3 linked regions of the Oryctolagus cuniculus genome follow. The protein of the gene in region 3 purifies or fractionates together with the protein of the main gene of each other region. This does not show direct contact. Links are inferred from orthologs where the notes say so. Each region holds a gene or a part of one and is shown on either strand. Other genes may lie near its edges. The genes, in order: LAPTM5, LAPTM4A and NEDD4.

Region 1 (7,554 bases), on a different chromosome or scaffold from region 3:
ACCACCCTAGCCAGGGGCCCACTCCCTGGCCCATTCCACACACCTACCCCTCCTCTCTACATGGCCTCTCTACATGGTCAGAGACTCTGCTGCACCTCTGTTTTCTCATCTGAAAAATGGGCAAATGGGTGAAGCCAAGATCCCTCTGCCTAACCACGAGGACTGATAGAAGTAAGGGGCTAGAGCAGCATCACCCTTGCTGACCTCTGGGCTCCCCACCCCCCTATCAATGCCTTGTGACTGTCCCTGCTAACCCCACTGCACGAGCCTCCCCGCCCCCTCCCACAGCCTCCGGCAGCCCCCAGTGGTCTGCCCACACCAAGCCTCTGCTGCTGCAGCTCCCTCCAGCTGTGAGCCCTCTTTTCCCAGCATGCTCCAGCAAAGTCCTGGTCATCACCAGGATCCAGGGGTCCTCCAAGGAGCCCTTCCACACCTCCACCCCAAGGCTGGGCTAAGGCCCTTCCTCCCTGGGCCCACAACAGTGTGCAGCGTTGCTACCAGCGCCTTGGTTATCACAGACTTTGAGGCCTGGCTCCTGGCCCAGGCTCATCAGGGCAAGTTGCGGCCTCTTCTTTCCACCCCAGAGGCTGCCTTTGTAGCATGAAGAGACGCAGCACGGGATTCTCCCCCAGGCACAAAGCAAGCATCCGGGTGCTCTGCCTGTGTAATCCGATGGTGGGGAGAACAGACAAATCTCTCAGGAAGGATTCCCAATCACCACGGGCCCCCGCGCCCTCAGGGAGGGGAGCAGCATGCTGTGCACAGGGACTTTCTTCCAGAAAGGACAAAGAGAAAAAGGGAAACTTGACAGCACAGGATGGGGTCGAAGTGACCCAGGTCGAAGCCCACGATGCCCATCGCCGTGGTGGCACATACCCTGCAGGTGGCATGCCAGGGTGGCACTCCACCTCTGCAGTCCTCTTCCCCAGAGCACCTGACCTCGGGTGTAATCTTGAGAAAACCGTCCGACTAATCCCAGTTCGGGAACATTCGACAAAATTCCCAAGATCACCAGAAATGAAGAAACTGTTGAGAAATTGTCAGGGACAGTAGGAGGGAACCCTTAGGAGGCAGTGAGAGCCAAGCGTGGTGTGGTCCCTTGGAGGGTCCTCTCCATGGTTCCCGGAGGAGAACAAGGATCCCGGGCAGAGGGGTGGAGGTATGGACGGGGCGTGGCTGCCTGTCAGTAACAGGTGTCAGTATGGATTCATCTGCTGTGACAAGGGCACAGATAATGGAAGATAGTGACGGAGAGGCTAGGCAGCCGGGACACGGGCACTCTGCACCACGTTCACAGCCCTGCAGTACCTGAAACTCTTCTAAAATGAAGCATTTCTTTTTCAAAGTAGCACATGCTCAGACCAGATACTGAAAATAGGAAAGTAGAAAAGCGTTTGCACGGTCCTGGAGCCCACAGTCACCACCACCTCCTTTCCTTTTCACTGGGCTTTGTCGCGTCCTGTCCCTGCATGGTTGAAATCTGTGTACATTTTTTTTTATCACAGCAGGTGTCAGCTTTTCATCTGGACAATGCACTTCCAGTGATGGGATTTCAGGCGCCTTGGGGAAGAAAGGCAGGAGACATTTCCAGGCAAAAGGGTCTCTGGGAGTCCTCGCCTCCTGACACCGACTGAGGACTTGAGTGAACTTGATGACGAGCGAGGACCCAGGAGGTCGATCTAAGAAAAGTCCTTTGACTTCCCCATGGGTGTAGGTGGGTGGCCCAGAGAATCCTCTACACAAGCCCAGCAAAATCCCTAGGAAGCCTCCTGCGGCCGAAAGTCAAGGACTCACTTCCCAGCATCGCACAGGAGAGGGTCCTCCAGCACCAACACCCCCACGACCTGATAAAGCGCGTGCTGCCTCTGGACGTCAGTGGCCCGATTTAACCCTCCCCAGAGGAACCACAGCCACAAATAGCTCGCCCCAGGCAGAGCCGTCACCCACGGCTGGCTCCAGATGACGGCCGACGCGGGCCCCTGGCACATCTGGATGGCAGCTTCTCTTTTCCATCCAGATGTTCAAGGTCTTGCCAGCACACCTGCCACCCGACGACTGGGCCACAGGAAAGCCCCTGACCCTGCCCTTCTGGGAAGACGCAGAGCCCCAACCCCAGCAAGGGTGAAGGCAGAGACCCTCACTGCAGTCCACTGAGGAGGCCGGCCCGGAGTCACAGAGCAGCCAGGCTACCCGCTCTTCTGGCACCTTCTCCTGTTCTAGAACCTCCCATGGCTGCCCCCCAACTCACATTAGAGGGAGCGACTGCGCCCAGGACTAGACACCTGTTTGGTTATGGTCACGGGGGAGTCAGTGCAGCCGGTGCTACTGGCATGCAGCAGATAGAAGCAGGGGGTGTTGCTAAAATTCCTACAAGGCACTGTTCAGGCCCCCACGCCAAAGGCTCCTCCAGCCCAAATAATAACGGTGCACCCAAGGACACGCCAAGCACTCGCCCTGTCCCTCCCTGACTCCAGCTCAGGGTCCGGAGTGCCCAACCACGCCTTGCCCACCCCCATTTGTCCGCAGTCTCTCTGCTCCACCCCTGTTTCCCATAGCAAAGTTTGCACCTCCTACAAAGGTGCCCCTCCAACAAGACTTCTCCGTGCCCTGGACCCACGCGGCTGCCGTGGCAGGACCCAAGGCATAGAGATCAAAAAGAAACCTGGAGGCACACGGTCCCAGGCTTGCAGTGCAGCCTCGGCGCAGGCAGCCTGTGGGCGGGTCCAGCACGGCCTGCATGGGCGCGTCCATGTTACCCCGCGTCACTCAGCGACATGGGAACACCAGAAGGTGCAGCAAAGATGCCTGTTTCCTGCTTTTCTAAATGTCAGAGGAGAGGCCACAGTGCCCAAGACCCTCATGGCAGCAACGGGCAGAAGCACAGGGCCTCCCGGGCCCGTCCATCCCACCTGTAGTCATGTACATGCCCTTCTGGACTTCTTAAGAGTCACAGTGCTGGCGCTGTGGCGCAGCAGGTAAAGTCGCAGCCTGCGGTGCCTGCATCCCATATGGGCGCCGGTTCAAGTCCCGGCTGCTCCACTTCCGATCCAACTCTCTGCTCATGCACTTGGGAAAGCTGCAGGAGACGGCCCAAGTGCTCGGGCCCCTGCACCCATGTGGGAGACCTAGATGGAGGTCCAGGCTCTTGGCCTTGGCCTGACCCAGCCTTGTTTGTCGAGGCCATCTGTGGCATGAACCAGCAGATGGAAAGATATCTCTCTCTCTCTCTCTCTCTGTCTCTCCATCTCGCCCTCTGTCTCTGTAACTCTGCCTTTCAAATAAAATGAATGCATCTTTTTTAAAAAGAAAGAAAACCCTATAGACTTGGTGGGGACAGTAAAGACACCTCGTGTGGGACAATCTCTGAGCTCCTGCCAAAACCACTCTCCGGGCTGGGAATGCGGGACTTCAGGTGTGCCGGCAGCAGGTGCATGTGTGGTGCCGCACTGAAGGCAAAACACTCCAATGTGGGTCAGACCCTGTTCTGCCTGCGCTGTGGCTATTGAGTCCCTGAGCCACACAAGCCGTCAGACAGGACTTCTTATCTTTAGCCTCGTTTTGGAGAAAAGGAAACAGAGACTCGGAGAGGTTAAGTAAGTTGCCCAAGTTTCCTACAGCTAGGAAACCAGGAAGCCAGGATTTGCACACAGGTGTCTGTATGCTAACCGCTGAGCGGCACCGCCCTCCCCAGGCCCGGCTCCTGCCCCACGACAGGAAGCAGATGCGGCCATCTCGGCCGGGGAGGGCAGCCCACCACGGCATGCAAGCCGTGGCTCACTTTCAGGAAGCTCTTCCAAGCTCATGAGAGAACGGCTAACCACAGGCCCTGAGTCACTCCAGGAGGAAGGCGCCTAGGTCTGGGGGCCCGGGTGTGGCCAGGAGACAAGGGTTGGAGGGTGGGTCTGGACAGGACAGAGCAGGGACTCCAAGCTTCAGCCACCGCAAACAAAGGGGTAGCCATGGCCTTGGGGATTGGCACCTTCCCAGAGTCACTCCGTGAGCCACAGGTGACAGAGCTTTCGTGTGTGGCTAGGCACACCGGCCTCCAAAGAGGAACCTGTGGGAGCTTGAGCCTAGCGCCCCTCCCTGCTTCTTAGCTCCCTGCCCCCGCCCACTGGAAGCTCAGAGAGGAGCTGCTGATGTCCCGGCTCCTGGAGCAGCCCGGGCTTGCAAGCTGTGCCTGTGGCTGACCTGGCATCCTGGCACCCGGCCCAGCCTGCTCTCTCCCAGGCCCCCTGGCCCCCAGAGCATGTCCAGTTCTGAGATAACCTCGCGCCTGCTGCTTTGCCCGACTCGCTGAGGCAGAAGCTGAGCTGCAGAAGCGAATGTCACTTACGTCCGCAGCTGCAGGACGCCCTCCCCATTTCACAGAGAGGGAAACTGAGGCCAGAGAGGGAAAGGGCTGTGCCAAACAGAGTCCCTCAGAAAGGTGGTGGGCAGTGGCCTCCCCTTTGAGGGGCTCAGTCTCTCTCGCCGGCACACACACACACACACACACACACACGCACGGGCACGCACACAAGTCCCCAGGGCCGGCGGCACACTCACCACATGGTAGATGGCCAGGGCGGTGGTGGCCACGCGGACGTTGAAGCAGCAGCAGGTCTGGCGGACGGCGGCCACGTGCGGGGCCATGGTACTGCTGCCGCGGCCTCTGAGGCACTGGGGGGAAGGAGCCCGGCGCCCACCGAGAGCAGAGCAGAAAAAGGGAAGCTGCCGGCTGCCCGGCTCAGGCTCACTTCCGTCCTGCCCCTCAGACAGGCAGGGCCAAGGTCGTCAGCACTGGGGCGGGGCGGCGGGGGAAGCAGGTGGGGGAGGGGCCGCGGCCGGCCTCAGGGAGGGAGCCTCGCCAGACCTCAGCCGCTCCTGGGAGGGGCTTCCAGGGAGGACAGACGCTCCCACCATCTGTACCCACCATGCACCAGGGCTGGGGTTCACCCTTGGAAACTGGGACAGTGACCAGACCTATTTCCAAAAAAAAAAAAAAAAAAAAAAAGAGAGAGAGAAACAGGTCCAGAGAGGTGTATCAAGGCACTCACCCCAAATCACACATCAGTTAGCACCTGTGGCAGGAGCCAAGCTCAAACCTTGCAAAAATGGCTACTTTCTGGCAAGTACTAAGCATGTTCCTGGAATAGCTCCTTTAACCTCAACCTTAGCCTTTTGAGAGAGGTGCTACTATTATCCCCATTTCACAGATGAAGGAATGGAGGCACAGAGAGGGGAAATGATTTGTTTGGGTCACAGCTGGAATTTGAGCTACCCCAGGGCTAGGAGTCTTTGCCCAGTGGGCAGAGCTCCAAACCAGGACAGTAATGCACTTACTATGTGTAGCCATCAGCCCTGGGCCGGGTCTTCTTTCAGCCGGTCACTGACCCCTCCTGGCAGCCCACTCTGTGGGCCTCCAAGTTCCTGGTACAGGAACTCGCTCTTAAACTGGAAGTAATAAACGGCTCCCCAGCACACTACCCCAGGACCTGCACTCCTCACTCAGATGATAAATTACCCACACTGCAATAAACAAAGGGTGCACGAGGCACGCGCAACAACCTGCAAGAAGCTGGGCCTTGTCCCGAAGCTGAGCTCACTGACACTGAAAGCTCCTAGCAGACAGAATGCAGCAGGACCCACCACAAAGCCCCACCCTCCCATGAGGTCAGGGAGTTCGGAGTGGGCAGCACAGCAGTCCATCATTTCTGCCCCAGGAGAGGTTATAAAGGCTCCTACCCCGCAGCAGGAACTGCTGTTAGACCTACACACCTGGGCTGCTGCACTTTATTTCTTTCTTTTTTTTTTTTAATATCTATTTATCTATCATTTATTTGAAAAGCAGAGTGACAAGGAAGGAGAGAGATCTTCCATCCGCTGGTTCACTTTCCAGATGGCTGCAACAGCGGGGCTGGGCTAAGCCAAAGCCAGGAGCCTGGAACTCCATCTGGGTCTCCCACATGGGTGGCAGGGGTCCAAGCACGTGAGCCATTTTCTGCAACTTTCCCAGGTGCATTGGCAGAGAGCTGGATCAGAAGTGGAGCAGCTGGGACTCGAACCAGCGGCTTCTATATGGATTGCTGACATCCTAGTTGGCCGCTTCACCCACCGCGCCACAATGCCTGCCCCACTGCTACACTTTCTAATCCTTCTCCCTTTGCCAATGAGACCAAGGGGACTCAGCCAGGTTGGGGCTCCTGGGAGACCCAGGCGATGGCTTCCCTACTCCGTGTTCAAGCTTGCTTCCGTCCCTTCCTAGGTCTGCTGAGGCCTGACGTCCTAGCGAGCTGACTAGTGAGTCAGTGAGTAAGAATTTGGTCTCTCTGGCTCGCGGCCTGGGCTCCAGTCCTGGCACCTTCTGGCCAGGACAAGACGAGTCAGACTGTGTCCCTCAGCAGCGAGGCCAGACAGAAGGCCTGAGACTGAGAAACCAGGGCCAGGAAGACCCTGAGGTCACGCTGGGGAGTCTGGGAAGCCAGCGGAGGATTTCCCGCGGTTATAACGACAGCCGTCAATAACACTGTGATTTGGTGGGACCCAGGCAGGGGTGCAGCCAATTCCCAAAGAGAGGGCTGGCGTGTGACACGGTTTTACATGGTCTATGGATGGAGGTTTTTCATTTTTATAGTGATCAATTCATCTTATTGTACAGTATAAAAATATACATAACTAGTCCACGAATTCTATGATTCTCCATTTATGGGAGTAATATAAAGTCTCATTTTCAAACAGATGCATTTAAATAAAGAGGCAGCAAGTCGATTTTAAGAGCATATTAAGGAAGCTACAGCCTAGGAGACAGTTGCAGCAGAGGGCTGAGGAGCTGGAGGAGGTGACGTCAGCTCGGGTGTCCCAGCTCCCCACTTAGCCGCTGTGTGACCTCAGACAAAGCGCTTGATCTCTCTGAGCCGTTGTACCTACCTTGGCAGCGCTGTGGCCAACACGGAACAGGGTCATGTGAGCACAGCTATTGTGTCTTTCCTCCCTGACCTCAAACACACCCAGGCTGCTGGGAGGAGACGGAGCCGGGATGCGAACCCTGCTCTGTCTGTTCTTGAGCCCCCCCACCCAGGCACTGCCTTCCCTCCAGACACCAGAGTCATTCGCTCCCCTGAAGTCAGCAGCCTCCAGCCTGCGCAGACCCCTGGGCCGGGGCCTCTGCCACTCCCTGTGGAACGGAAGCCTGGCCCTGGTCATCATTGTCACCTGCCCCAAACCTCCAAGGAGGGGATTCTGCCACCCCAGAGAGTGGCCCCCTTGGCCAAGGCCACTCTAGGAGGTAGAATAAAGCACACACACCACCCTGCAAATGAACGCCCACCCCTAATGCCCGGAGCCTGTGCACATATGACCTCGGTGGCAAAGGCACAATACGGGTGTGATTAAATTAAGGGTCTTGAGACTGGGCTGAGGGGGTGGGGCGGATCCTGGATTGCATGTGTGGGTCGAGTATCAAAGGTCTCTGTAAGCAAAAGCCAGTGTCGGAGAGGGACTGGAGGGCGCCCACGGCCAGCTCTGAAGGAGGGGGAAGGGCCAGGAGCCAAGCAGTACAGGCGGCTCCCAGCG
Region 2 (7,763 bases), on a different chromosome or scaffold from region 3:
TTGACAAATGTTGCTTCACTCAGGTAGCAGAGAGTCAAATGTTAACATTGTAAATATCAGAAAATCACATTAGTTTATTTCACTCCAATACTACCATAAAAATCTTTTAAAAAGGTTTATTTTATTTGAAAGGCAGAGTGACACACACACACACACAAACACACACACATACAGAGAGAGAGACAGAGAGAGAAAGACAGAGACAGAGACAAAGAAAGCAAACTTCCATCCTCTGATATAGAATGCTGGCATCATAGGCGGTGACTAACTCGTCGGGCCATAACTCTTGCCCCACATAAAAATCTTTATTACTATCAAGCCTGTGGTTGTGCATATACATTTTTCCAAAATTTTTGGAAACTTTTCTCTAATTTTCTCTTGAAAATTTTATAATTTCTTCACTGGCAACCAATACTCTAGCTGCTTGCCTTGAAGGGACAAGTTCACCTCATTCATTTTCAAGAAAATGACTGCCAAATACTTACATCTCAATATTCATATTCACCTGTCATTCTTTCAAGTGAAAATGGTGCTCTATTAAAAACGTGGCTAGATCAGTTCCTAAGTCAAGCAATGCTTCCCCTAGAGAGAATCATTGTATTTTTGTACACAGCAAAAGTGCTTATGTGGACTTGACCTTTTATTACATAGAATGCTAAAAATATGTGTTCTTGCATCTGCATTGGGGTGCAGTGGTTTAAGCCACTGCTTGGGACATCTGTATCCCATATCAGAGTGCCTGGCTTTGAGTCCTACCTCTGCTTCCAATCTATGTTCCTCCCAATGCACACTCTGGGAGGCAGAAGATGATGGCTTGAATATTTGGGTACTCGCCACCCACATGGGAGACCTGGATGGAACTGGCTCCTGGCTTCTGCCTGGCCCAGCCATGGCTGTTGCAGACATCTGAGGAGCAAACCAGATATTTCTCTCTGTTGCTTGACCTTTCAAATAAATAAAATTCACAATAAACTTAAAAAATAAAAAGATGTGTTCTCAAGGACTAACAAAACAAAGCAAATAATGTTTTGTTCATCAAGAATATTCTTAATCCAAACTAGCATTTTTACACTGCTTGTGTAGCAGGGAAGGACGCAGGTGATGGGTGGTACAGTTTGGTGCCACTGTCCACAGTAGAACTAAACTAAAAGCCTCATCATAAAATCCAGGGTTTCCCCTCTTTCCCTTCCAGCTCCTGTCATCCCCTTCCTCCTTCCTGCCCCCAGCCCCTTTTCTGTTTTCTCTCTGCGATTCCACTTCTGATGATGTGGTCATATATCCCTCCCATCTCTTTCTTCGCCCACCCCTGGCAATGATTCTGTCAGCTCCCACCGACAAGAAGTAAGGGTCTAGTTTTGGATTCCTTGAATCTGGGCTTAGCCATGGGATTTGCTTTGTCCATTGGAACATGAGCAAATGTGAACCACACACTTAAAAAGTGCCAGTGTCTTGTGCTTGCCCTGGGAAACCCTGCACCAACCCTAAGGGGCTGGGCCAGCTTGCTAGATGTTGAGACACGCAGATAAATGCCTCCACCCAGACTGATGCAAAACCACCAGCCACGGGAGAACATTCTAGACGATCCAGATTTCACCAGTTAAGCTGAACTTGACAGAAACCAGCAGAAATGCCTAGTTTAGCACAAATTGAGGAGAAATAAAAAAAAGTTGTGTGAAGTCACTAAGTTTTGTGTAGTTTGTTGCACAGCAAAAGCTGTCATTAAAAATACTCTCAGCTATTTTTGTCGTGGTGCACGCAGAGCTTCATATTTTTAAGCAACATATACACTCTATTTTCACTAATTCTGACGTTATTTGCTCCCAATATACTGGATGACTTATCACTCTTAAACTGTCATCTACTCTTCCCCAAATACAGTGTGTTGCGACATACTCCACATGCAGCGTTTGCCTGATTATGCCTACGCAGTTATCACCCACAGCTGAACTCCGTGGTGGCTCTGACTACATTTCTTTTCACGGTAAAGTCACACGTCTCCTACACACACAACGAACACGTGTCAAAGATTCTGTCTGCTCTGAGGAAGGAGAGGCCGGGGAGACGTCAAAGTACCGCCTCTACTGAAGCAGGAATGGGAATGAACTCAGAAGTTGATGTCAGATACAGGCTTTTTCCCAGGAGGGCTGAGTCCAGTGAGCACTCCCAGGGCGCAGCAGGGACAAAGGAAGGCGGGGGCCCTACGCAATCCCAACACCAAGGCCGGCTGTTCACTCAAGGCCCCCGACAACCTGTTGGTTCTTTTCCACGTGTCTCACAACTCTTCTCCACAAAAACCACTCTCGTCAGCTGTAAGCAGCCAGTTCTCCCACTACTTTCGGTCTCCTTAAGCCCTGCGTCTCTGGCTCCCACCAAGGAGGCGGAAATCCACGCTCTCAACTCCCCTGGGAGCTCCCAATTTCCGCCACACTGCGGGGGCGGCTAGCTAGCCCCGCCCCTCCCCACAGGCCCCACCCACTCACAAGGCCCGCCCCTCCCCCACAAGCCGGCCCAATAATGGAGCCGCACGCAAAGGTCACATGAGCAGCCGCAGGTCCGAGTCGCCTCTGACGTAATACGTGGCAGAGGCATCACTCGGAAAAGCCTTTCGCGCTCACTTCCTGGCCTCCACGCCATCTCTTGTCTCCCCTCTTGCACTAAATGTCCCTTTCCTTGACGGCCTCACTTCAGGGATGGTGAACTACCGGGTCGCCCTCACCACGAACTCTCCTGGGCTCCCGAGCGGGCCTCTGGCCTCCCTTACCAGGCGGGAACGGATCCGCGCTGAGGGGAGTTGCACTTCTGATTGGCCCTGAGATATTGTCAGTCTCCAAGGTTTTCCAATCAGGAGGCGGGCCCGCTCCGTTTTCCGCTCTCTATTGGTCCGCGTGCCGCGGAAAGTGGAGGAGGAGGAGGGGGTAAGCGGAGGCCGCACGAGAGCGGCGCTCAGTGCGCCGGTGCGGAGGAGCTGTTGGGGCCCGGGCCGGGGGCGGGCTTGAAGACGCGTCGTTTGGCTTGGGACGCCGAGAGTCAACCGCCGGGCGCAACCGCTGCGCGGAAAGCTTTGGTCAGTGACTGGGCCAGCAGCGAGGCCCGCGAGTCTCCCGATGGTGTCCATGACTTTCAAGCGGAGCCGCAGCGACCGGTTCTACAGCACCCGGTGCTGCGGCTGCTGCCATGTTCGCACCGGGACGATCGTCCTGGGCACCTGGTACATGGTAGGTGTGAGGGGCGCCCGGGCCGGCGGGGCGGGGCGTGAGGGGGCGCGTCTCCGTGGGGTCCTCCAGCTCGGGCAGCAGTCCGGGGGCGTCGAGGGAGGAGACTTGCCCCGGGGGTGTTCCGGGGCGGCCGGAGGGACTGGGGTGCTGGGAATGACCCGGCTTGGCCTCCTTTCGCACTTCCGCCCCCGGGTCGGGTGCTGGTGGCGGTGGGTTTTATTCATTTTATATATATATTTTTTTTTTGAGGAGCAGATCTTGAGGTAACGCATCCCAGTTCCTCTGCCTCGGGGCCGCTCGCGCTGCCGGAGCGCAGCTGGGGTGCGGGCCGCGGGGCCGAGGTGCGCCCGGAGGCGGCACCGCTCTCCGGGATTCGCCCTGAGGCAGCCCCTGGCCTGCCCGCGTTAGCGGATGGCCTGCACTGGGTGGCCGCGGAGGCTGGCGTGCCTGGTGCCGGGATCTCCTCTGTCATCGGCAGTTGACAGTGTGACCCGTAGGAAGACGGTAGTGGCTGCTTCCCGCCGCTTCCGGGATGCGGACACGATTGGAGCCGGTTTGTGAGTTAGGAAAGTGCGATCCTGTTTAGGCAGTCTTGGGTTATTCGGACTTCACGGAAGCTCTGTCAGACTTCATTTGTTGTCGACTCGGCCACTTTGGCTGACTTCTGTGATTTTTGTGGGGGGCGACAGGGAGTGGCAGCAAATACTGTGCCGGTTCTGATGCTTAGTGACCTACAAAAAAAAAAAAAAAAAAAAAAAAGGGAAGAGACTTACCCTAGGCACTCCCTGCCTTCCTACGTGCTGGAGACGTCCCCACCCAGTGTCTGGAAGTCATTGGTAACCACTCAGACAAATACCAGACGAGAATCCGTTAGACAGATACTGTTACATGGCTCGCCCCCAGGGGACCACCTGCCACCACGTTATTCCTGACTGCTCTGTTGTTGTTTTACAGTCTTGCTTCATTAACATACTTAAAAATTAAAAAAACTTGAATGTGTGTAAATCTATTTGTATCACATGGCCATTCACAGACTCTATAATTTTGGACATCAAATAGTTAATGAGTCATCTGCGTTATATTTCTCACTTCCTTTTCTTTCCCCTCCATTATTAAGGGGCTGAGTTTTAATTTCTTTTGTTTGTCCTTAGCTCTGCCTTCCACTCTCCAAAATGAATACTTTAAATCGTTCTCAACCCTACTGTCCTCATCCCAAGTGATTTTCCCTCCTCCTGGGTGGAGGAAGTCCAGTCCTTCATCCTGGGACTCTGGCCTTCAAATTTGGTGTTCCTGTCTCCTCAGCTCTTTCCCTCCGTTCACAGAACAGAGGGTTTCTAACTCTTAAAGAAGAAAATAACCACCATCCTTGTCTCAGCCATCTAAGTGTAATTGGCTGTATTTATGGGCTCAGCTCAAAAATGAATAGCAGGATCAAGTGCGAGTTACAAACAGGAAACTCAAAGTGCAGAGGGGAAAACTTCAGTTAAGGGCATTATTCCTACAAAGTAGGCAGTGAATTTAAATCTCTTCCGCACTTGAAGCTGTTGACGTGAAAAAGGTTCACGCATCTCTCTTTTGAGCTCTTCTTTGCGTGGACTTTTCAGGTTAGTAGAACCTTGTCAACTGCTTCTGTCACCTGTCTTGGTTATGTGATTGATTGACCGTGTGCACTATGAAAGGCTTTGCTTGCTGTACAGAAGGAATGAATCACAGGGCCTGGTGTCGTTGATCCTTTGTGTTCCTGTTCGGGCCACATGGTAGAACTTCAGTGTTTGTTGTCTTGAACTTTGCATCTTCCCTCAAGATGCTTCTGGTATTGCATGGCACTTTGGGGCACAGGTTCAGAAACGAAACTTACAGTAACGAGAGAAGGGGAAGGTGATTGGTAATGTCCAATTCTAACCAGCTCAGGGACTGGAGGAAGGCTGTGGGGGGCCCGTGTTGAGCCTAGCAGTTAGCCGTCTGCATTCCCCATCATGGGTTCAGTTCTGGCCGAAGCCCCTGACTCTAACTTCCTGCTACACAGACACTGGGAAGCAGTGTTGATGGCTGAAGTCACCTGTGTGGGAGACCCGGAAAGGCCAGTGGTTTTATTAATTATAATATTGCTGGTGACTTTCAAAAGTGTAGCTTTGATACAGCAATTTAAAGACACAGTTTCTGCCCAGCTGGGGAGACACATAACACTGAGAAATTAGACAAGACCACCTGGACCAAAGTGCAGTGTTGTCTAAGCAGTGCGTTTTGTTGCCAGTAGCTTCCTTACTAAGGGAAATACGGGGGTGAGTGGAGTAGGGTGTTACTTCCCTCCCTCTTCCTTGATTCTAGCTGCTGCAATACTTCTGCATCTGCTTGAGAGAGTATCTTATGATTCTCTCAGGTTCCCCCGTAGTCACTAGGCTGTCTGAAGTGGTGATTCCTTATGTGCTGTTTGGAACTTGGTGAGGCCTCTGGATGGGCTCAGACACTGTTAAAATGACTGCGACTGATAGAGTGTCATTACTTTTCAGCAGCCACTTCTACGGATGGCAATGTGAAGATGTTTGTCAGACTGTATATACGGTATTCATTGCCTTATATTAAGTAGTGCTGGGCAGGACCTAGAGAAAACCAGAACCCATTATTCCGTAGCCTTGCAGTAGTAGCCTTTAGCATTTTAAACTTGAAAGAAGAAAGCCTGGTTTAGTACCTGGTTTAAGCGATACAGAGTTTCAGAATGAGCTCCTTTAAATGCTGACATTTCTAAAGTTTCCCTATCATTTTTTAAGATGATTTTAAACAAGTTTCTTGTCTAACTCAAAATATTTATTGAATGAAAATGGCCTTAAGCATCTGCTGTGAGAGGTTAATGGTGCCCTAATGAGAGTATGTTTTGAGCATTTGTAGTAAGTGTTGGTCTTGGAAAGACGCTGTGACTGATTTTCCATGTGTCTCAACCTTTTTAGAGTATAACCTTAGGTAGCGGGCAGATACGCGAAGACAGGCTTCCTCAGGCTGCATTCCTTTCTGGCCCTCACTCCTGATTGCTATAGAGGAGTGTAGCTTGTTTATGCTTCAGTCAGTGTCTTTCCTCAAGTACCTTGTTTTGTGCCTCTGTGACTGGATATGCGATTCCCTTCTGAAATCATCTTTTCCTGTCATTTTCTAAAAATGGTATTAAGGAAGTTTTAAAACAAAGTAGCAAACTGGCATAAAAATTCCCATTTACTCATCTCTCAGGTTTAACCATTAACAATTTTGTCAATTTCACATTAATTTCTTGGCTGGTAGCTCAGATGTTTTCATGGGGAAGATTTTTCAAGTGTCTGTTGTAGGCACTTATTAAATAGTACTTCTGTTGCATTCTAGTATGATTATCTTTTCTTCCTCCCACATAGGATGGCTTCCCTGAAGGAGGAGGGTAGTGTCTTACCCTATAAAATGTGTGTAGTAGGTAAATTATTAATTAGACCGCTTGAGATGTTCATGAAACAGTAAATGAACCGTCTCCTCCAAGAAAAGTCCCTGAAGAATCTCTAGGATGTGTGTGGCAATGAAATGAGAATGCAGAGAGGAATGACTCTCTGGAGGCTGGGTGTGTCCATGGATGCCGTAGCGTTGCTTTGTACTCAGGACGCTCGAGCACATCTGTTTCTCCTTTGTGCGCTTACATAAGGTGGGTAAAGGCTTCAGAAGCATCAGACACCACGTTGTTTGACCCACAAATTGTACATGTCTGCTCCCACGCTGAGTGCTGAGTGGTGTGTCCATTTCCATGCTGTTGACAGGTTGGCTGCATTCTGTATCTTTCCATGTTCCTAGACTTAGAACTTAACCATTCTTTTTTATTTTTAAAATTTTATTTTTTCATTCTCTTTTAATTATATTTTTTGTTAACTTTCCTCCCTGAATACAGTGAAGGGAGAAAAAAATGAATCAGGAACACTCTGGAATAGTTTGTACATAGTTGGGTGTTTTCAGAAAAATTTTATTTGTAAGACTAACTTTTATGCATTCTTTGAAGAATTCAACGTGGTGAAATACCAACTGTAATCAGAAGTAAATTGCTAGGGGGCCAGTGTTGTGGCATGGCTGGTGAAGCCACTGCTTGTGATCCTGGCATACCCTACGGGAGTGATGGTTCAAATCCTGGCTGTTCCGCTTCCCATCCAGCTCCCTGCTAATGTGCCTGGGAAGGCAGCAGAACATGACCCGAGTCCTTGGGTCCCAGCCACCCACCTGGGAGACCAAGATGGAGTTCCTGCCTTTAGCCTGACCCAGACCTGGCTGTTCTGGCTATTTGGCCAGTGAACTAGTCAGTGGAAGATTTCTCTGTCACTCTGTGTTTCAAATAAACCTTTTAAAAAGTCAATCACTAGGGCCTGTATATGAGTACAGCTTAGGTACTCACCTCTGAATCTTTGACAGTCACAAAGATTTTCCAAAATAATATTTTATTTAAAATGTAAGTTGGGGTTCCAATGAAATATGATAACCTAAAGAAATATAATTAGGGGCCGGTACTGTGGTGGAGTGTGTAAAGCTGCTGCCTGCAGTGCCAGCATCCCA
Region 3 (7,047 bases):
TGCCTGGCAGCCAGTCTGAAATTGCTTTTCTCCCATCTTGCCATTCTGTGAATTGCACAAGCGGTGGAGGAACAGCTTCTGGGAGGCAGTCTCCCCGCTTCGCCCCAGGATCTGCTTCCTGAGGTCTCGGCGACTCACTGTCCGCTGCAGCCTGAAAATGTTAAACATGGAAAGTTCTAGAAATAAGCCACTCATTCCTTTTCAATAATGTTTGTTAGGAGATTGTTATAATTGTTCTCTTTTATGATTATTGTTAATCTCTTGCTGTGCCTAGTTTACAAATTAGACTTTATCCTAGGGTGTGTGTGTGTGTGTGTGTGTGTGTGTGGAGAAAGCATCGGACAGGTGCGGCTTGGCCCTGTGTATCCTTTCAGGCATCCATGGGACATCTTGGAATGTCCACCCTGTGGATCAGGGCGACGGCCATCCAAGGCTTCAGTTACTGTGTTTCTATCAGGCTTTTCTTTTTCCTTAAATATATGAAAAATGATTTTCTTTTCCCTTAGAGCTAACCCTTTCTTTTTGTTTTTGAATCTTGATAGTGTGTTTTCTCTTATTGATTTCCACTTGAAAATTGCACACACACCACTCAGGAATAAAATATCCCGCAATATTGTTATAACATGTGTAATCCTATCTGCCTAAGGTATAGTTATCTACACTTGTAACACAAACAGAGGATGCGCACAGGGTCAGTGTGCCAGTGTCGCTCATTGCTGCAGACCAGAGACTGGGGAGCTTTCTCAGCATCCTCATTTCTCCCTCTGTAGAGTAGAGATGGTACTAGCAGCTTCTTTGTATTCTGTCATGAAGAACACTTGGGTTAACCAGTAAAATTGTGCCTGGTACAATCTATAAGTGTTAGCATCTATTCCTGGGTGAAGCAGGAGAGAGTGCAAGGAAGAAAAATTGCAGTAGGGAAGCACCTTGGCAGACAGGCAAGCAGCAAGTACCAGGCGGTGGCTAGACAGTGAGGCAGAGAAGGGGCTTCCCTGGAACCTGGCGTGCAACGGACTGTTCATGAAACGCCTTCAGCTGAGCGTCGTCACCCCCTCACCAGCCCCGTCAGATACATCAGAAGTGGGTATTAGGAAGTGGGAACTGAAATGTATGAATTCATTTCTTCCATGGAGGAAAAGTAAGAAAATACAGCTGGACCATCCTGGTGGTGAAGCAGGTTAAGCCACCACTGGACGCTGGCATCCCGTATCGGAGTACCAGTTTGAGTCCTGGCTGCTGTGCTTCTGATCCACCTTCCTGCTAATGCAACTGGGGAAGCAGCCGCGGATGCCCCAAGCACTTGGGCCCCTGCCACTCACAGGGGGGACCCGGGATGGAGTTGTAGGCTCCTGGCTTCAACCTGGCCAGGCCACCCCCATTGCAGCCATTTGAGAGGTGAACCAGAGGATGGAAGATCGATCGATTGATCAATCTCTCTCTCTCTCTCTCTTTCAAATAAATAAAATAAGCCTTTTTAACAGACCTCATTGTGTTTTCCCCGGCGCTGGGGGAAAGACAGCGGCAGAGCGCGTGTGGGAGCTTTCCTGAGGCCCGTGTGTCGTTACGCGGCGTTGACTCAAGTCACGAGTTCCTCCTCTCTGTGTTTTCAGAATGACATTCCAAACAAGTTTGAGATGAAGCTCCGCCGGGCCACCGTGCTCGAGGACTCCTACCGGAGAATCATGGGCGTCAAGCGAGCAGACTTCCTCAAGGCCCGGCTCTGGATTGAGTTCGACGGTGAAAAGGGGTTAGATTATGGAGGCGTCGCCAGAGAATGGTTCTTCCTGATCTCAAAGGAAATGTTTAACCCTTACTATGGGCTGTTTGAATATTCTGCTACGTAAGTTCCTTTTCAACCACTTACACACAAGGGAGACATCACTGTGTACAAAGTGGCAGTTACACAATACGAGGGAGATGTGGGTTCTGGAATACCAGGGAGGGGAGGCCGCAACTGATGTTTTAGAAGTGACTTTTTTAAGCGGTTGTGGTAGCACATGCCTCACATAAGACTTCCCACTATGACCGTGGGACGTGAGCACTGTGACGCCAGCTACATGCACGCTGCTGTGCGGTCACCACCACTGCTCCGGACCGTTTTGTCTTCTCAGGGTGAAGCTCTGACTTCTGTTCCCTGCAGTCGCCATCCGTTCTCCTTTCTGTCTTTGCAAATCCAGCTACCCCACTTCCCTCACGTGGGCGGAGTCATGCAGCGTTTGTCCTTGGCTCCGGCTTATTGTACTTGCCATGCCGTCTTCAGGGTGCGTCTGTGGCACAGTCGCCTTCCTAAAGCTAAAGAATACCCGCAACATCAGTGGGTGTTTGTATTATTTCCTCCTTTTGAGAGAATTTACTGCTTTTCAAACCATTCAATCCAGTGGCCAAATGCGGTTCTGATCAACTCCAAAGGAGGAGGAGATCCATTTATACTGATTTGTCAGCTTAAACATTTTGTCTGTGTTACCAACAGAAGTATTTCCGTGTGGTTCTCTCTGCAGGGACAATTACACCCTACAGATAAATCCAAACTCTGGGTTGTGTAATGAAGATCACCTCTCTTACTTCAAGTTCATTGGCCGAGTGGCTGGGATGGCAGTGTATCACGGCAAGCTGTTGGATGGTTAGTATCAAGTATAAACCTTGTCTTAGTGTAATTAGCCATCTTCTTTCATGTTTTAGTAATTCCAAATATCATTGTTTTTTTTCAAGGTTTTTTCATTCGCCCTTTTTACAAGATGATGCTACACAAACCGATCACACTTCATGATATGGAGTCAGTGGTATGTCTTTTCACTTGTAATGGGAATGACATATGATTTAACAGACAACTGGATATTGTAAAGAATTAGTTTTTTAATGATACAGAAATTAACAAGTAATAACCTTTCAAAATAGAAATGAATATTTTACCATGAAAATTTTCTAAATATAATCAAGTTTAAAGACCGTTACAGTGGACACTTGTATATCTACCACCTACAAGTGACTTTTCAACTTTTCCTATGTTTATTTCATTGCATACCTTTCCATCTATCCATCCCTTGACCCATTAATCCACTGTAGTTTTTTTCATGCATTTCCTCGTAAGCTGCAGATACCAGTAAACTTCCCCCTAAATGCTTACTTTGCAGCAGTACTGTATCTTTTATGTCAATATTTGAGTTGGGATATTGGCATGTATCTTAAATTTGGTAGTGTGGAGGCGTAGCCTCATGATTAGTCCCCAAGAAAGACACAGAGATGCTGATTAAAATCTTGACTCCCTATGCTCCCTCAGCTGCTGCAGAGCCCTATACATTGCATGCACACATGGATTCCAGGACAGCCTCCTTTCTTAGTACCAGGTAGATTGCTTCTTACTTTCATGTCACAAGTCATCAGTGCAATCAGCATGGTTTTTCACGTCATAACATCAGTCATTTCAGTTGTTTAGTTGAGCTTCCACTTGGGCCAGGTGTAGACAAGGAACTCCTCATAGTTACCTGAACATTTCATAAACCTCTCATCGGCCGGATGACTTCTGTGGAGGTTGGGACTTATCTGAAAACTGCTCTGTTTAACCCTTTAACTGGGTAACAAAATCTGCTTTCACATGGAGATGTTTCTGACCTTTTAAACAAGTACCCTCCACTGGCTGATACACGTCTAGCCCTGCATGGCCCCTTGTCTCTTCTTAGAGCACACGTATGTGTGTATGGAAAAGATGCCCACGTGACCCTTTCATCTTTCACCCAGTTATTCTGACCTGGAGCTCAGGTGTCTTCTTTATATATATATATATATGCATTTTAAATATGAAATTTTTCCCGTCTAGGATAGTGAATATTACAACTCACTAAGATGGATTCTTGAAAATGACCCAACAGAACTGGACCTCAGGTTTATCATAGATGAAGAACTTTTTGGACAGGTTTGTACCCTTTGACCAGTGAAAATGGTAAATTGTGTAAAAAACCTTGGCAGCTTCAGTTTAGAGTTAGTGCACATACTCAACACATTCCTGTGCTCTGCTTTTACATTCATGTTCCAGTAACAAGAGCACTCAGTACGAATTTTTGCTTTTTTTGACATTTGATTCATACCATATTTATTTTAGTAAAACTAATATTTAAGTTTTCTAAGCTTCTAGCTTTCGAATGGATTTAATGTAAAACACCAGGTTTTGGGCGTAACTGTAATATGTATACCTTTGAAATCTTTCTTACTAAAATAACATATCAAGGTATTATGTTTAATTTTAGACACATCAACATGAGTTGAAAAATGGTGGATCAGAAATAGTTGTCACCAATAAGAACAAAAAGGAATATATTTAGTAAGTATTTTATTAGTATTTTAATGAGAATAATTTTGCACTTTTTTGTAAGATTCTTCTTACCTTCTTCCCGGACCATGCTGTGGCCCCAATCTTGATGTTCTTCTTTTATTTCTATAACATTGCGGTATTATCGATTCATATCAACTTTTTGGCATGAGCTTAGCTAGCCTTTATTTTTTGTTTCTAACTTGAATAACTCCAGCTTAAATCTTTTTTCTTGGTTTATGAGAAAAAGTGTGAAATGTTTTATTTCTTTTTAGTCTTGTAATACAATGGCGGTTTGTAAACCGAATCCAGAAGCAAATGGCTGCATTTAAAGAGGTATTCATTTTCTTTTGTTTTCTCACTCACAATTTCAAAGTACAATCTGTAAATTTCAAATATTGGGCTTCATTCATCATATCTTAGAAAAATAAGTATATGGCTTGATTTGTAAACCACCCTAAGCTATGTTTTTAGACAACAAAATATTCCTTGAATAGTTGTTCACCATTAAAATTCAATCATTCAAGAACTCTAGACAGAACCATGCAGTTCCATTTTCACCTTTTCTTCTTCCCACTCCCCTCCTCTGAGTAGCCCCAGGTGGGCAGTGGCACGGAGTGCTCTAGGACAGTGTAGCAGGTCGGGCTTTTTCCTAAATACAATCACATCATGGGAGACCCAGATGAAGTTTCTGGCTCCTGGCTTCGGCCTGGCCCAGCACTGGCTGTTGTGGCCATCTGAGGAGTCAACCAGTGGATGGAAGATCCCTGTGTCTCCATCTCTCCCTTTCTCTGTAACTCTGACTTTCAAATGAATAAATTAATCTTTTAAAAAGATTAAATTCTTTAAAAATTGGGGAGGAAGGGAGAAATGGTATTGTGGTACAGCGCTGCCACTTGTGTGATGCCAGCATCCATGCATGTGCACTGATTTGAGTCCTGGCTGTTCTGTTTCAATAGAGCTCTCTGCTAATGTGTCTGAAAGGTAGCACAAGAAGATCCAAGTTCTTGGACCCCTGCCACCCATGTAGATGAACTTTGCTTCTGGCTTTTGGTATGTCCCGGCCCTGGCTGTTGTGGCCATTTGGGGAGCGAAGCAGCATATGGAATATCTCACTTTCTCTCTCTGTTCATGTTTCTGTCATTCTGCCTTTCAAATAGATAAATCTTTTTTTAATTTAATTAAAAATTTTAATTTTTAAAACTTTGGTTTTTATTTTATTTGAAAGGCAGAACTACAGAGAGAGGAGGGGGAAGGGAAGAAGGTGAGAAAGGGGAGGCGGGGAGAGAGAGATCTTCCATCCACTGGTTCACTCCCCAGATAGCAAAACAGCCATGACTGGTCCAGGCAGAAGCCAGGAGCCAGGAGCTTCTTCCAGGCCTCCCACATGGGTGCAGAGACATAAGCACTTGGGTCACCTTCTGCTGCTTCCAAAGTGCATTAGCAGGGAGCCGGATCAGAAGTGTGAAAAGCTGGGTCTTGAACCAGTGCCCACATGGGATGCTGGCATCACAGGTGGAGGCTTAACCCACTGTGCCACAATGTCAGCCCCAAAACTTTCTTTCTCAATACAAGTTCTATCTAGTTTGTAACAGATGACAGCAACCATTTAGTCATCCTTAAAGAACTGCGAGTCCTTAAACTCAACCATGTCAGTGCAGACTTGCTTTTTATATTATTAACTGAAGAAAAGTAGGTGCCCTTTAAACACATTTTAAGATTAGGAAACAAAGAGCCAAATCAGGACTGTTAAGTGGATGCCTGATGGTTTCCCGTGGAAACTCTCAAAGAACTGCCCTTGCAGGAGCATCGTCATGGAAGGCAGGAGCATTGTCATGGTGGAGACAGGCTCGCTGGAGAAGCTTCCCAGCACGTTTCTGCTAAGGCTCTAACTGACTTTCTCAAAACACTCTCAGAATCAGCATCTGTTACTGTCCTTTGACCCTCCAGAAAGTCAACAAGCAGAATGCTTTGAACATCCAAAAAAATGTCACCAAGACCTGTGCTCTCAACCAGCCTACCCTTGCCAAAGTCTGGGTCCCAGCTTAATCTGAGTCTCCCACGTGGGTGGCAGGGACCCCGCTTTTGCTTTAAATGGGCCCTTTCCACCTCTTTTGTTAATTTGACTTACATAAGGTAAACAAATTCCATGTATTTCATATGTACAGGCTTAAGAGCCTAATGATACTTCCTGCCCTACGCTGCCTCCTGCCCCTGCTCCCACCCTCCTTCCTTTTCTTTTATGTTTTACAATGACATACCTTCAGTTTATTTATAATGACAGGCTTAGTCCTCCACTAAATAAATAATTCAGCGAGTAGTAAGTAGAAAAACCAGTGTTCCTCAAGAGTATAGACAAGGGCTATAAACATCAAATCTCGTCAATTTTAGTCATGTACATTACATTTTTTATACTTTGTATATTAGTTACCACAAATTAGGGAAAACATATGATACATCTTTTTGGGACTGTCTTATTTCACTATGCATAATGGTTTCCAGTTGCATCCATTTTGTTTGTTCAAAAGACAGGATTTCATTTTTTTTATGGCTGAATAGTAGTCCACAGTATATATTTACCACACTTACTTTATACAGTTATCAGTTGATGGACATCTAGGTTGATTCCATATCTTAGCTATTGTGAATTGAGCTGCTATAAACATGAGGGCACAGATAACTCGTTCTCATGTTGATTCCATGTAATTTGGGTAAATTCCCAGGAATAGGATGGCTGGGTCATA

Evidence for each region.
Region 1: the proteins of NEDD4 (region 3) and LAPTM5 purify together in Homo sapiens (affinity purification with western blotting; 3 studies listed by BioGRID and IntAct, with this or other methods). This does not show direct contact. The link is inferred for Oryctolagus cuniculus from reciprocal best matches to the Homo sapiens genes NEDD4 and LAPTM5.
Region 2: the proteins of NEDD4 (region 3) and LAPTM4A purify together in Homo sapiens (affinity purification with western blotting; 3 studies listed by BioGRID). This does not show direct contact. The link is inferred for Oryctolagus cuniculus from reciprocal best matches to the Homo sapiens genes NEDD4 and LAPTM4A.

The regions. Positions count from the first base shown.
Region 1 is NC_091438.1:141,557,887-141,565,440, reverse strand, and holds the start of LAPTM5 (lysosomal-associated transmembrane protein 5), read right to left. Parts: upstream 4,790-7,554; 5' UTR 4,636-4,789; coding exon 4,549-4,635; intron 1-4,548. UniProt on the Homo sapiens protein: May have a special functional role during embryogenesis and in adult hematopoietic cells.
Region 2 is NC_091433.1:182,484,052-182,491,814, forward strand, and holds the start of LAPTM4A (lysosomal-associated transmembrane protein 4A), read left to right. Parts: upstream 1-2,560; 5' UTR 2,561-3,104; coding exon 3,105-3,215; intron 3,216-7,763. UniProt on the Homo sapiens protein: May function in the transport of nucleosides and/or nucleoside derivatives between the cytosol and the lumen of an intracellular membrane-bound compartment.
Region 3 is NC_091443.1:78,535,451-78,542,497, reverse strand, and holds part of NEDD4 (E3 ubiquitin-protein ligase NEDD4), read left to right. Parts: intron 1-1,610; coding exon 1,611-1,840; intron 1,841-2,498; coding exon 2,499-2,620; intron 2,621-2,709; coding exon 2,710-2,780; intron 2,781-3,814; coding exon 3,815-3,910; intron 3,911-4,241; coding exon 4,242-4,315; intron 4,316-4,578; coding exon 4,579-4,639; intron 4,640-7,047. UniProt on the Homo sapiens protein: E3 ubiquitin-protein ligase which accepts ubiquitin from an E2 ubiquitin-conjugating enzyme in the form of a thioester and then directly transfers the ubiquitin to targeted substrates. Specifically ubiquitinates 'Lys-63' in target proteins.